Coturnix japonica: one gene and its partners. The protein of the gene in region 2 purifies or fractionates together with the protein of the main gene of each other region. This does not show direct contact. Links are inferred from orthologs where the notes say so. Each region holds a gene or a part of one and is shown on either strand. Other genes may lie near its edges.

What was found. Proteins that work in one complex are often made in the same cells at the same time.
Region 1: the proteins of CHD4 (region 2) and ZMYM3 purify together in Homo sapiens (affinity purification with mass spectrometry; 3 studies listed by BioGRID, with this or other methods). This does not show direct contact. The link is inferred for Coturnix japonica from reciprocal best matches to the Homo sapiens genes CHD4 and ZMYM3.
Region 3: the proteins of CHD4 (region 2) and TOP1 purify together in Homo sapiens (affinity purification with mass spectrometry; 3 studies listed by BioGRID and IntAct, with this or other methods). This does not show direct contact. The link is inferred for Coturnix japonica from reciprocal best matches to the Homo sapiens genes CHD4 and TOP1.

What each region holds. Positions count from the first base shown.
Region 1 is NC_029519.1:2,250,123-2,252,569, forward strand, and holds part of ZMYM3 (zinc finger MYM-type protein 3), read left to right. Parts: coding exon 1-90; intron 91-211; coding exon 212-363; coding exon of another isoform or gene 364-468; exon of another isoform or gene 469-775; intron 776-792; coding exon 793-907; intron 908-1,844; coding exon 1,845-2,099; intron 2,100-2,189; coding exon 2,190-2,307; intron 2,308-2,447. UniProt on the Homo sapiens protein: Plays a role in the regulation of cell morphology and cytoskeletal organization.
Region 2 is NC_029516.1:69,333,867-69,338,304, reverse strand, and holds the end of CHD4 (chromodomain-helicase-DNA-binding protein 4), read left to right. Parts: coding exon 1-98; intron 99-125; exon of another isoform or gene 126-267; intron 268-465; coding exon 466-575; intron 576-754; coding exon 755-887; intron 888-1,135; coding exon 1,136-1,213; intron 1,214-1,334; coding exon 1,335-1,472; intron 1,473-1,568; coding exon 1,569-1,677; intron 1,678-1,996; coding exon 1,997-2,129; intron 2,130-2,698; coding exon 2,699-2,894; intron 2,895-3,010; coding exon 3,011-3,154; coding exon of another isoform or gene 3,155-3,186; intron 3,187-3,286; coding exon 3,287-3,348; 3' UTR 3,349-3,887; downstream 3,888-4,438. Other genes in the region: NOP2 (probable 28S rRNA (cytosine(4447)-C(5))-methyltransferase), read left to right, coding at 4,245-4,350, 4,427-4,438. UniProt on the Homo sapiens protein: ATP-dependent chromatin-remodeling factor that binds and distorts nucleosomal DNA. Acts as a component of the histone deacetylase NuRD complex which participates in the remodeling of chromatin.
Region 3 is NC_029535.1:4,172,577-4,176,364, forward strand, and holds part of TOP1 (DNA topoisomerase 1), read left to right. Parts: intron 1-912; coding exon 913-1,008; exon of another isoform or gene 1,009-1,052; intron 1,053-1,206; exon of another isoform or gene 1,207-1,245; intron 1,246-1,655; exon of another isoform or gene 1,656-1,776; intron 1,777-2,123; exon of another isoform or gene 2,124-2,180; intron 2,181-2,499; coding exon 2,500-2,575; intron 2,576-3,583; coding exon 3,584-3,681; intron 3,682-3,788. UniProt on the Homo sapiens protein: Releases the supercoiling and torsional tension of DNA introduced during the DNA replication and transcription by transiently cleaving and rejoining one strand of the DNA duplex.

The sequences.
Region 1 (2,447 bases), on a different chromosome or scaffold from region 2:
ACTCATATGGTGTGAATGCTTGGAAGTCCTGGGTGCAAGCCAAGTACGCAGGGGGAGAGACCAGCAAGGGAGAGGAGCTGCGCTTTGGCCGTAAGTTTCCTGTCTGTGTGGGGTGAAGTGGCAGACACCTCCCAGCAGCTGGATCCCAGCCCATCGAGGTGCTTCTCACCTTGAAGGATATTGTCTGAGGCTGCAGTATTTGTTTCCACAGCCAAGCCCATAAGGATCAAAGAAGACATCCTGGCCTGCACGGCAGCTGAACTCAACTATGGCCTGGCTCAGTTTGTCAAGGAAATAACACGGCCCAATGGGGAGCGCTATGAACCGGACAGCATCTATTATCTGTGTCTTGGGATTCAGCAGGTGAGGGAAAGCTTGTTGTCCTCACTTCCTTCCCAGCCAGGCCTGGGGGTCACATCTGGTGAGGGAGAGTTCTTGCCCTTTATTTTGCCTTCTGGAGACCTATGACAGCAACCTACCCAGTTTAGTCTTTGTTCCTGAGCCCAGTGGGAGGTGACAGGCATTCCCTGTCTTTGCACCCAAGGAGCACATCCTGGAGGAAGGCCGAGTAAACTCTCCAAATTCAGTCTCAGTCCCTTCTCATTCATCAGTTCTGCTTTGTGATGTCCTGCAGTTTCTCACAGCTTTCAGGAATGGTTGCTTTTAGCTGAGCATCTGCTCTGCAACTCTGCCTGTGCAAGCCTGGGTTCTGCGTGTGTCCTGGGCTTTATGGGAAGGATTTGCACTCCAGGTACCGCTGTCTCTCTTGACTGTGTGTTCTGTTCTTTCTAGTACCTGCTTGAGAACAATCGTATGGTGAATATATTTACAGACCTTTACTACCTGACCTTCGTGCAGGAGCTGAACAAGTCCCTGAGTGGCTGGCAACCCACAGTCTTACCAAACAGTATGTGTCTCCATATTACCTTAACTTAGCATGCATACATAACCCATTTGTGCTTCTTGCATTGGATCCTCCAGTCTGTTTGCGTTCCTCCAGCCTCAGTCTTCTCTCTTGGCACAGGCAGTGCTGTTCCACTGCATTTTAGGGTCATCCTGACCCATACTGACAGCAGGGCCAGTCTGGTTTATGCCTCAGCAACTTTGTTTCCCAGAGTCAGAATGGCTGGGAGTAGAGCGTGGCTGCTTTGTTTATTGGAGCAGTTCTAACCTTTACAATAGTAAATTTCACTGGTGTCTGAACCCTTTAGTAAGGAGGATACCAAACCAACAGGTGTGGAGGCCCATGTCTTTCCCTTCCCAGTCTGTCGGAAAGCCCTGCACACTGTTCTGAATGTTGGCCATGGTTGCTGTCATGCTACCTTGTGAACAGACTGCCTTAGAGCTTTGCAGAGGCTTTGCATGATGCCACAATCTGGGCTTCCTTCCCTATGGTGTCTTGTAGTTGCTGTAGCCACTCCTCTGCATGATGGCTGTTCCAGGTGGAGGCCTTCAGCTCCAGACCTGTGTGTCCAGAAAGGCGATGGCTTTTCTATTATCCCCCACGGTGAGGTGGAGCACTGACCTGAGTCCACTTCACGGTCGTTTATGATATGATCCGTTAGGATTTATTGAGATTCTGGGCTGAGATTTGCCTGTGCCGTGGAATGGGCAGGGTTAGGGTCCATTGATGGCTCTGAAGGAGGAACCTTGTGGGAAAGCGGGCATTGTGAAGTGTCAGCACTGAGTTGAACTTGGAGGAGAAGGGATTGCTCCAGACACACGTTCTTCAGATGCTTGGGGCTGGCTCCCAGCCACTGCTGGCAGGCACATTGTTCTAGTTCCCTCCTGAAAGAACACAAGGCCACTGTGGGTGTTGACCTGGTTCTTCCTCTGTATTACAGACACAGTCTTCTCACGTGTCGAGGAGGAGCACCTATGGGAGTGCAAGCAGCTGGGCGTTTACTCACCCTTTGTGCTCCTTAACACCCTTATGTTCTTCAACACTAAGTTCTTTGGGCTGCAGACAGCAGAGGAGCACATGCAGCTCTCCTTCACCAATGTAGTACGGCAGTCCCGCAAGTGCACCACAGCCCGTGGTGTCACGAAGATGGTGAGCATCCGCTACTGTGCTCCTGCCAAGCAAAAGAAAGGCCGAGGTAGGGTCTGACAGAACATCTCTTTGTCCCTCTCCCTGCCTTCTCCGTCATGTCCCAGCTGTGATCCTACTCTGTCCCCCCCCTTTGCAGATGGTAGCACTGGAAAGAGGAAGCGTGAGGAGGAGGTGCCAATGTTGGAGCAGCGGGAGAACAAGATGAACCCGCTTCGATGCCCTGTCAAGTTCTACGAGTTTTATCTCTCCAAATGGTGAGGCTTTTCTGGATCAGAGGCTTGTGTTGTTTTGGGGCCACCTCTCAGTTTTAGGGATAGCCAGTGGAGTAGCTGCTGCTCTCTGCATGTTCTTCCATGAGCGTTAAGCCTTGACCAGGGTCTGCTCTGCTCGTAGA
Region 2 (4,438 bases):
GAAACTTTCTCAGCCAAGCTCGCCCTCTCCCAAAACACCAACTCCTTCAACACCAGGGGATACTCAGCCAAATACACCTGCCCCTGTTCCTCCTCCTGGTGAGAGCTTCCCCATTGAACACTCCTGTGTCCTGACCTCATCCTGGCTCTTCCCCTCACCGGACCTGTGGTGGTGGGGTCTGGGGGTGGACACAGATCAACTTACCCTCTCAAGTTAGGAGGGTTGCTTGAAGATGTTTGCAAACCCTTAAAGGCAAGAGAGGACATCAGTGAAAATAAGTACCCTGTGTTTGCGGTTGGTAGGAAGTCTGTGGGTTCATCTTGAGCGATGTTGTTCCTGCTTGAATGGGCATTTTCTCTAGGAGCAAAGATATGTGCATGTTTACAGTGGGGGAAACACTTCACTGATGGCTTCTTTTCTTTTTTTTTTTATCTGATATGCCGCTCTGGGGTGGGGAATACACAGAAGAGGGAATAAAGGCAGAAGAAGGAGCCAGTAACAAGGAACAAGGAGAGTCTGCTGAGCCAGAGAAAGAACTCAGTGCCTCTGCTAATGACACAGAGGTCCCTATGGAGGTGGGTATTGGGATGCTAGTTTGCCTCATGCAGTTGCAAATGTCTCTACTTAGAGATGATTCTCCTCATGTTCTCACAATCAGTGTGTAATAGTTTTGTGCGGATTTGCTTTCCAAACTGGTTTGACTGTCTTGTTTGCATACGCTGCGTTGTTTCACTGCTCATTGATCTGTCCTCAGCAGTGTGCCCAGCCTACGGAGGCAGCACCACAGGAAGCAAAATCCCCAGTGAATTCCACAGAAACAGATGAGAAGAAAGAAGAACCAGAGGTGAAGGAAAGAACAGATGAGCCAATGGAAGTGGAAAACAAAGGTATCTCTAGAGAGGTTGTTTAATACCTTGAACACAAACAGCTGAACAAAAAATGAACACCAGTATCCTCCTAAAGATGCAACTTCTTTGCCTGTGTTTTCACCTTATAGAAGCAGACATAAATGGATAACTGGTGGAGACTGTTCCATGACTTTGAGCAGGGAGTCAGGGAACACCTTGGTTTCATTGACTGAGGAACAAAAGCTTGAGCTCATAGTTACATCTCATACTCCCTTTCTCTCTTGCAGCTGATGTGGAGAAGGCAGAAGACAGAGCACCTACTGAGAATACCTCTGACCCCCCTGTAATCACCTTGGATGAGAAAGGTGAGTCGTGATAATTCCATTCCTGATTCCCTTCATGACTCCCTCTCCTGCAAGGACTTCCTGTAGGTCCAACTTGCTATGCTATCTGCCATGTTCTTTCTAATGACTTCTGTGCACGCAGATGAGAAAAAGGATGATGATAAGAGAGACGTGGTGATGCTGCAGAACGGAGAGATGCTGAAAGAGTCAGTAGATGAAAGGCACAAAAAGGCAGTAAAGCAACGGTTCATGTTCAACATAGCTGATGGTGGCTTCACAGGTATGTGAAATCTTTTTATATTTTAACTCATTTATATTCTCCTGTTCTCGTTCATGAGGTAACTTTCCATTATTTTTGTGTATCTTGCCTGTCCAGAATTACACTCCCTGTGGCAGAACGAAGAGCGGGCCGCAACTGTCACAAAGAAGACATATGAGATCTGGCATCGGCGTCATGACTACTGGCTGCTTGCTGGAATTATCAAGTATCCTTGCCCTGAGAAACCAGTTCTCTCCCCCTGTGCTTTAAATCTTGTTGTGAAGGTGACCGTTTGGGGCCTGACTGGAACGCGTTCAGAGAGAGAGTGCTTTTTATCATTCAGTAGAGTGAAAGAAATGATGGGAGGAGGGTTTTAGTGTCGGTGTAATTAAGACCTAGCAGGAAATAGTTCTCATTCCTCTTTCTTGGCCCCTGTTCCTCCCCTCTTTGTGTCCCCTTCCCTGACCCCCTCAAAAACTGTCTGCCTGGACTGTGTATTCCCATGTTCTCACTGCCTTTGTTTGCCTGAGCTCATCCCATCTCAGTCATGGCTATGCCCGTTGGCAAGATATTCAGAATGATCCGCGTTACGCCATCCTCAATGAGCCCTTCAAGGGAGAGATGAACAGGGGTAACTTCCTGGAAATAAAGAACAAATTCTTGGCAAGGAGATTCAAGGTAAGGCACCTTCATTGTGACAAATGCCCTTCAGCAAGATGAGCTTTTAAGAACAAGATGGCTGCCAACCCAAGTTAGGCCATGTAATTCTGAGTCTCGGAACTAAACATCAGTGTAGTTTGGCCAGTCAGCTCTGCTACAATAGAATTCAAATTGATTTCTTCAGAGGACTCTGACATGTTTAACAGTTTCTCTTGAATTCTTCCTCTTTGGTTGGATACTTCTCAGGTTCACTGGGGGAAAAAAAAGCTTCATCTCCTGTGCTTCATGCAGAAAGATCAAAGATTTACTTCAGAAATCCTTTAAGAAGGCAGAGGAATATGAATCTGTTCACAGCACTTTAGACTGGTCATAAGTTGGTTGATTTTCTTGTATACAGAGCCTGGCTTAATGAAGCTCTTTGTTTCTCAATATTTAGACCAAGCTAAACAGAAGATGGTGAAAGGAGTTTCAGGGTTCCACCTTGTGACAGACAATGACTAGATCAGGAAGACTGTGGTGGGGTTGGAGAGGGACATCCAAGCAGGCAACTGCTGGAGGACTTCTCACATGACTGCCCCCTCTTGCAGCTCCTGGAGCAGGCCCTGGTGATTGAGGAGCAGCTGCGGCGAGCTGCCTATCTGAATATGTCAGAAGACCCCTCTCATCCTTCAATGGCTCTGAACACACGTTTTGCAGAGGTGGAGTGCCTGGCCGAGAGTCACCAGCATCTATCCAAGGAGTCAATGGCTGGGAATAAGCCTGCCAACGCCGTGCTGCACAAAGGTGATGTTATGGGCTAAGCAAGAGTGGATGTGTTGAGCATCTTGTGCACCACACATGGGGAAGACCTTCTTTTTCCTCCTTCCTCTGCCCTGAATCCATGTCCCTTTCTCTTCTAGTTCTGAAGCAGCTCGAGGAGCTTCTGAGTGACATGAAGGCTGACGTGACACGCTTGCCTGCCACTATTGCCCGTATCCCGCCGGTGGCAGTGCGCCTGCAGATGTCGGAACGCAACATCCTCAGCAGGCTCGCCAACCGCAGCAGTGAGCCCCCTCCACCGCCCCCTCCCCAACAAGTATGTGCCCTCCCTGCTCTGCAGGCGGGGGTGTCTCGGGGCTATGTGGGGAAATAGCCCCCATACTACAGAGCCTAGCGGCTGTTCTCTCGCCCTACAGGTGGCGCAGCAGCAGTGAGTCTCCAGCCCGGTGCCGTCAATCTTTTGGCCAAGCCGAAGTGACCCTCCCCGCCCCACCCCTTCACACTCTGCCCCTCTGCCTGACATTCCTGACCGGGTGCCGTTTCTTCGTGGAAGCTGCCGTGCGAGTCTCTGGGAGGAGGGAGAACCTCCTTCCATTACGGCCAGCCCACCGGAGCGAGGAGTGTGCTGAGGAGAGAGGGGGACGGATGGATGATGGACTCTGTACATAGTGACTGAAGGCCGCGGTGCCATGGCTGTTACATGGAGAACCTGGCTGCGTTGCTCGCTGCCTCCGCCTGGAATTCCACGTTTTCAGTTTTGTAACTTTCTTTTTGGGTTTGTTTACCGATGTGACCGCACAGGCGAGATGAAGCAGAAGCCAGGACAGAGACAAAGCTACCTCCATCGAGATCCTTTTTAATACAGAAACTGACGGGACTTGTCCGCTCATTAAGCAGCTCGGAGAGGAGAAAATAAAGTGAAAAAAAAAAACAACAAAAAAACACAACAAAAAGCAAAAGGACAAAAGCAGAGCAAAATCTTGGTAGAACTGAAAAATAAAGTTTCCTTGTATTTTACTTTGAGGTTTCTGTGCAGCACTGATTCTCTCTAGGCCTGAATCCTCCTGCTTTGCCTTGGGCTGGGCTGTGAGAGGCCCTGCCGTCTCTCGTGCCGGCCCACAGAATCACAGAATGACCCAGGTTGGAAGGGACCTCAAGGATCATGTAGTTCCAACCCCCCTGCCTGGCAGGGCCACCAAACATACACATTTACTAGACGAGGTTGCCCAGGGCCCCGTCCAACCTGGTCAACGTGGCCCGTGACGTTCCGCCCCGCAGCCAATACCGGGCCGGGGGCGGGTCGGCGGACGAGCGCGTGCGCGGCAGGGGTTGGCCCGCACGTGGGTTGTTGGCGGTGCCGGCTGTACCGGAGCCATGGGGCGGAAGCTGGACCCGACTAAGAAGGAGAAGCGCGGCCCCGGGCGCAAGGCCCGCAAGCAGCGGGGGGCCGAGGTGGAGCTGGCCCGCTTCCTGCCGCCCGGTAAGTGCGGCCCGTGGCGGCCCGGGGCCTTGGCGCTGCCTCGGGGCCTGTCTGAGTGCCCGTTGTGTTTCTGCAGAGGAGGAGGCCG
Region 3 (3,788 bases), on a different chromosome or scaffold from region 2:
CTACAAAGCTGAATGCTGGTTTTTCTTCTCCCACTGTACCCAATTGCAGATTCTGCGTGTTGACTTGGAAACTGAGTCAGTTTGAAATAGAAATTTGATGGGATATGAATAGGAAAGCCCAAGACAGCACTGTAACTTTTTGTACCTGAGTAAAATAGTGCTGAGTGCTTCCAAATGTAATTATGGACTCTTTGTGATGTCTTCTTATTTCTGAAGATAAGTGAAATGCTTCCATGAAATCTAGAAATAACGAGTTTGTTTAAAGAGATCTTTGTACCCACTCATACTCTATTTTTCCTTTTATTTCTACTGTTCAGGGGAATATTGTGTCTGAAAGCACTGAGCTTAATTTAGTATTTGTGGTTTGAGAGGGACAGGATTATTTGCTTCCCACAGTTTGGGTAGTAAAGAGAGACTGATCAGCTTAAGTTTGCCAGATCTTTGTTTCCTTCTCTGCTTTTTCATATACATTAGTATTTAGTCTGCAAAACATTTAGTAACATAGCTTTCAAATCTCTGCATGTTTGACAGTCTTTTACCAGACCCAATAAGGATATTGAACTGAAATCATGTAATGTTCCTATTTGACTACACACATACATGGTTTCAGTTTTGCTTTAAAAATACTGGAAGCTGTGGTTGTTTCTACTAAAAATCTCAAAGAAACAGTGAAATCTACATTGTTTGTAAGTAATTGATCTTGATGTTGCTTGAAAAATAGCAAATATGTCAACGCTAAAAGACTTTCTGCTTGTGCTGTCTGCAAAAGTTCAGCAAACATGGCTCTGGGATCTGAGGAAGAGGACCCATTCCCAATGAACGCAGAATGTCTATTCTGCATCTGATGATTTCTTAAATGAAGGAACATGCACTTTGAAGTTTAGAACCACCTTTTTTTGTTTCTTTTTGTAGTCCACCACGTATTAAAGATGAACCAGATGATGACGGGTTTTATGCTTCTCCTAAAGAGGACTCCAAACCCCTGAAGAGGCCTCGGGAAGATGATGAGTAAGTGACCTGGGTACTGGGGACTTGAATGCTTGCCTTTGGCTCTAGAAAGAGAACACCAAGGGAGCAAGTAGGATCTAAGATATTCAGCCTGTACTGGGGGACTGGAGATCTGAGACTAAATTTCTTACACTATTAAAAGTTTTCTGAACAGAGTAAGGATAGCATCTACGTTGTTCATAGAAAAAATACCATTACCTGCTTCTTCAGATAGTTCTGTGCAGAGCTGCAGAGTTACTAAATAGGGGGAAAAAAAGAAAAAGTGAGAAGAGACCAAGACTGTAAAGCATAAGTCTGAGTAAGTGTGGTATTAATGGTAGCTAAATGGCTGCAGTGGTTTCTGATGGGTGAGCAAATGACAACACAAGAGGAAGAAAATACAGTCAGCCTGCTCAGTACAGGGGAGAGTTTCACATGCACTGCATGGCATGAGTCCTTTTTAAAAGTGTCTGAATATGTTGTGGATTACACTGGGGATTTTATTCTTTAAGAAAGCTCATGTGATGTTTGCCTGATACATAGTAGCCTGCCCAGTGAAATAAAAACCTGGTTACATCGTGCTATGATGTTACCATCTAGCATGTCCAGTTTTTTAGATAGCATGACCCATCTAAAAGGCCTAGACTTAAAGGCTTGGAAGAGCTTACCACATTGGCATTCTGTTCTAATGTCATGTTTCAGCATCCAAGAGACATGGGTGTGACATCTTCTCTTTTGTGTAATCATTTGCTACCTTCTGTTAAGTCTTTGTGACCTCCCATCTCATGCCTGCAACAAAAAGATTAAGAATTTGTCAGCAGTCGATTTCGCTGGTGTTCAAACTAGTGGGGGATGCAAAAAGTGGGTACTGGAAGCAGTTCCCAAACTGATGATTACAAGAGGGACAGCATGTTGGGGAAAACATGCCACTGAGCTTTCATTGATTTATTTTATCCCATGTAATTGCTGGGTGGCTGCTAATACTCTTTATTTGGTGCAGCATCAACAAAAAATTTTTGTTTCAGCAGCCTGAAACTTCTTCTGGGCATCTGTATAGTTGTAATTATACAAAGATATACAGTTGTAACTATACAAAGGTAAAGTAGATGGATAGCCAGAGGTTATATGGGACTCACCACTGTTGAGGCTCACAGTCAAGACACTCACTGTAGAATCTCCACATAGGAGCAGTCTCCAGAAAGAGATGCTGCCTTAGTGGTGGTCAGCCCTTAAATGGGATCTAGGAGAGGTGGAGTCAAGCTCAACCCCTTCCAGGAGCACAGCTGAATTACCTTCACCTGTGCTCCCACAGCTGACCCATCACTTGCCTCAGATGGTTAATCAGATGTTCAGGCTGTGATCAACAGTTTCCCATACAGCAACTACTTGTAGTTATAGCCTATGGATTTTACATACTATAAACTTGAACACACAGATTTTATACGTGTATGACTTAATATTTTTTATACTGGAAAATGGATGATTTTCATCAGCTAGTCTTTGTTCTTATAGTGCTGACTACAAACCCAAGAAAATAAAAACAGAAGACATAAAGAAAGCAAAGAAAAGGAAACAAGAAGAAGAAGAGGTAATGTGAAAGATGTTTGTTTCTAGCAAGAAAAGCAAGACTGATAATTCAGTATTGAATTGTATAGAGCAAGAGGAATCGAATTCAAAGGGAAAGGGGCAAGGATCAGTCCTGGGACAAAGCTGCATGTAACAGATACAGACTTGGAGTTCAAGTTGACTCATCGGAGCCATAATGTATAAAGTCAGGGGAACTTTGTCTCTTACACTTAAAATAAGGGGTAGAGGGAATATCTCCAGATTGAGAATTCGTAGTGTGTTCCTGGCAGTTCAGTCTTTCTGCTAAGTAGGATCATCTGCAGAGAGTATAAGAGCCTTACTTGCAACACCTGGTAATTGTGCTGGTAATTTGGCACTGTTCAGAAACAGAGGAGATGAAACTTGGATTAGTCACTGGAAAGACATTTAAAGCTTTTAGATGAAACCGAGGATGTAAATTTGGAAAGGGAGGTGGTGTTGAGGTTAACCATAGTTGGAGACTTGAAAGCTATGCTGCTGTGTCTAGCAAAGGCTCCTTTGTGAAGCACATGTTGCAGGGAGCTCCTGGAAACTTGATTAATTCTCAAGTTTAATGAAAGTGTCTTTATAGAGAACATATACCATACATTCCCAGAAGCCACCTCATAGTGATGTAATTTTTCTCTGTGGCACTTGCCAGAGTAGATGTAACTAATGCACACTGAGGAGACTGTTCCTATAATTGAGCAATCATGTTACTGTGGCCCAAACTTACTGCTTATCAAGTGAGGCAGAATAAGTGGCTGTTGTGTGCACTTAATATGTTCTACATCTAAGGGAAATAATTTGGATTAAAACTTTGAAGTGTGGCTGTCAGCAGAGTTTGACTTAAACGTGCACTTCAGTCATCGTGTTCTGTATTTAGGCTTTCATAATTCAGCTGTTTGTGGTCTAACTAGTGCATGCCAAAGGATAGTTGTTTAGTTTTAAAACACCTTTTGCCGGAGGATAAGAGGGATGGAATGTGGTAACTTTTTCTAACGTTTTACAGGAGAGCAAAGCAAAGAAGGCTAAGAACAAAGATAAGAAAAGCCCTGAAGCGGACAAAAGAAAGAAGCCGAAAAAAGAAGAGGAGCAGAAATGGAAATGGTAACTATATATTGATGATGTAGGCTGCCCTCAGCACTATCACTGTTACCTCCCATGCTGACTGAGTAACCACATCTGCCTTTTTTTTTTTTTGGTTGATTCATGAG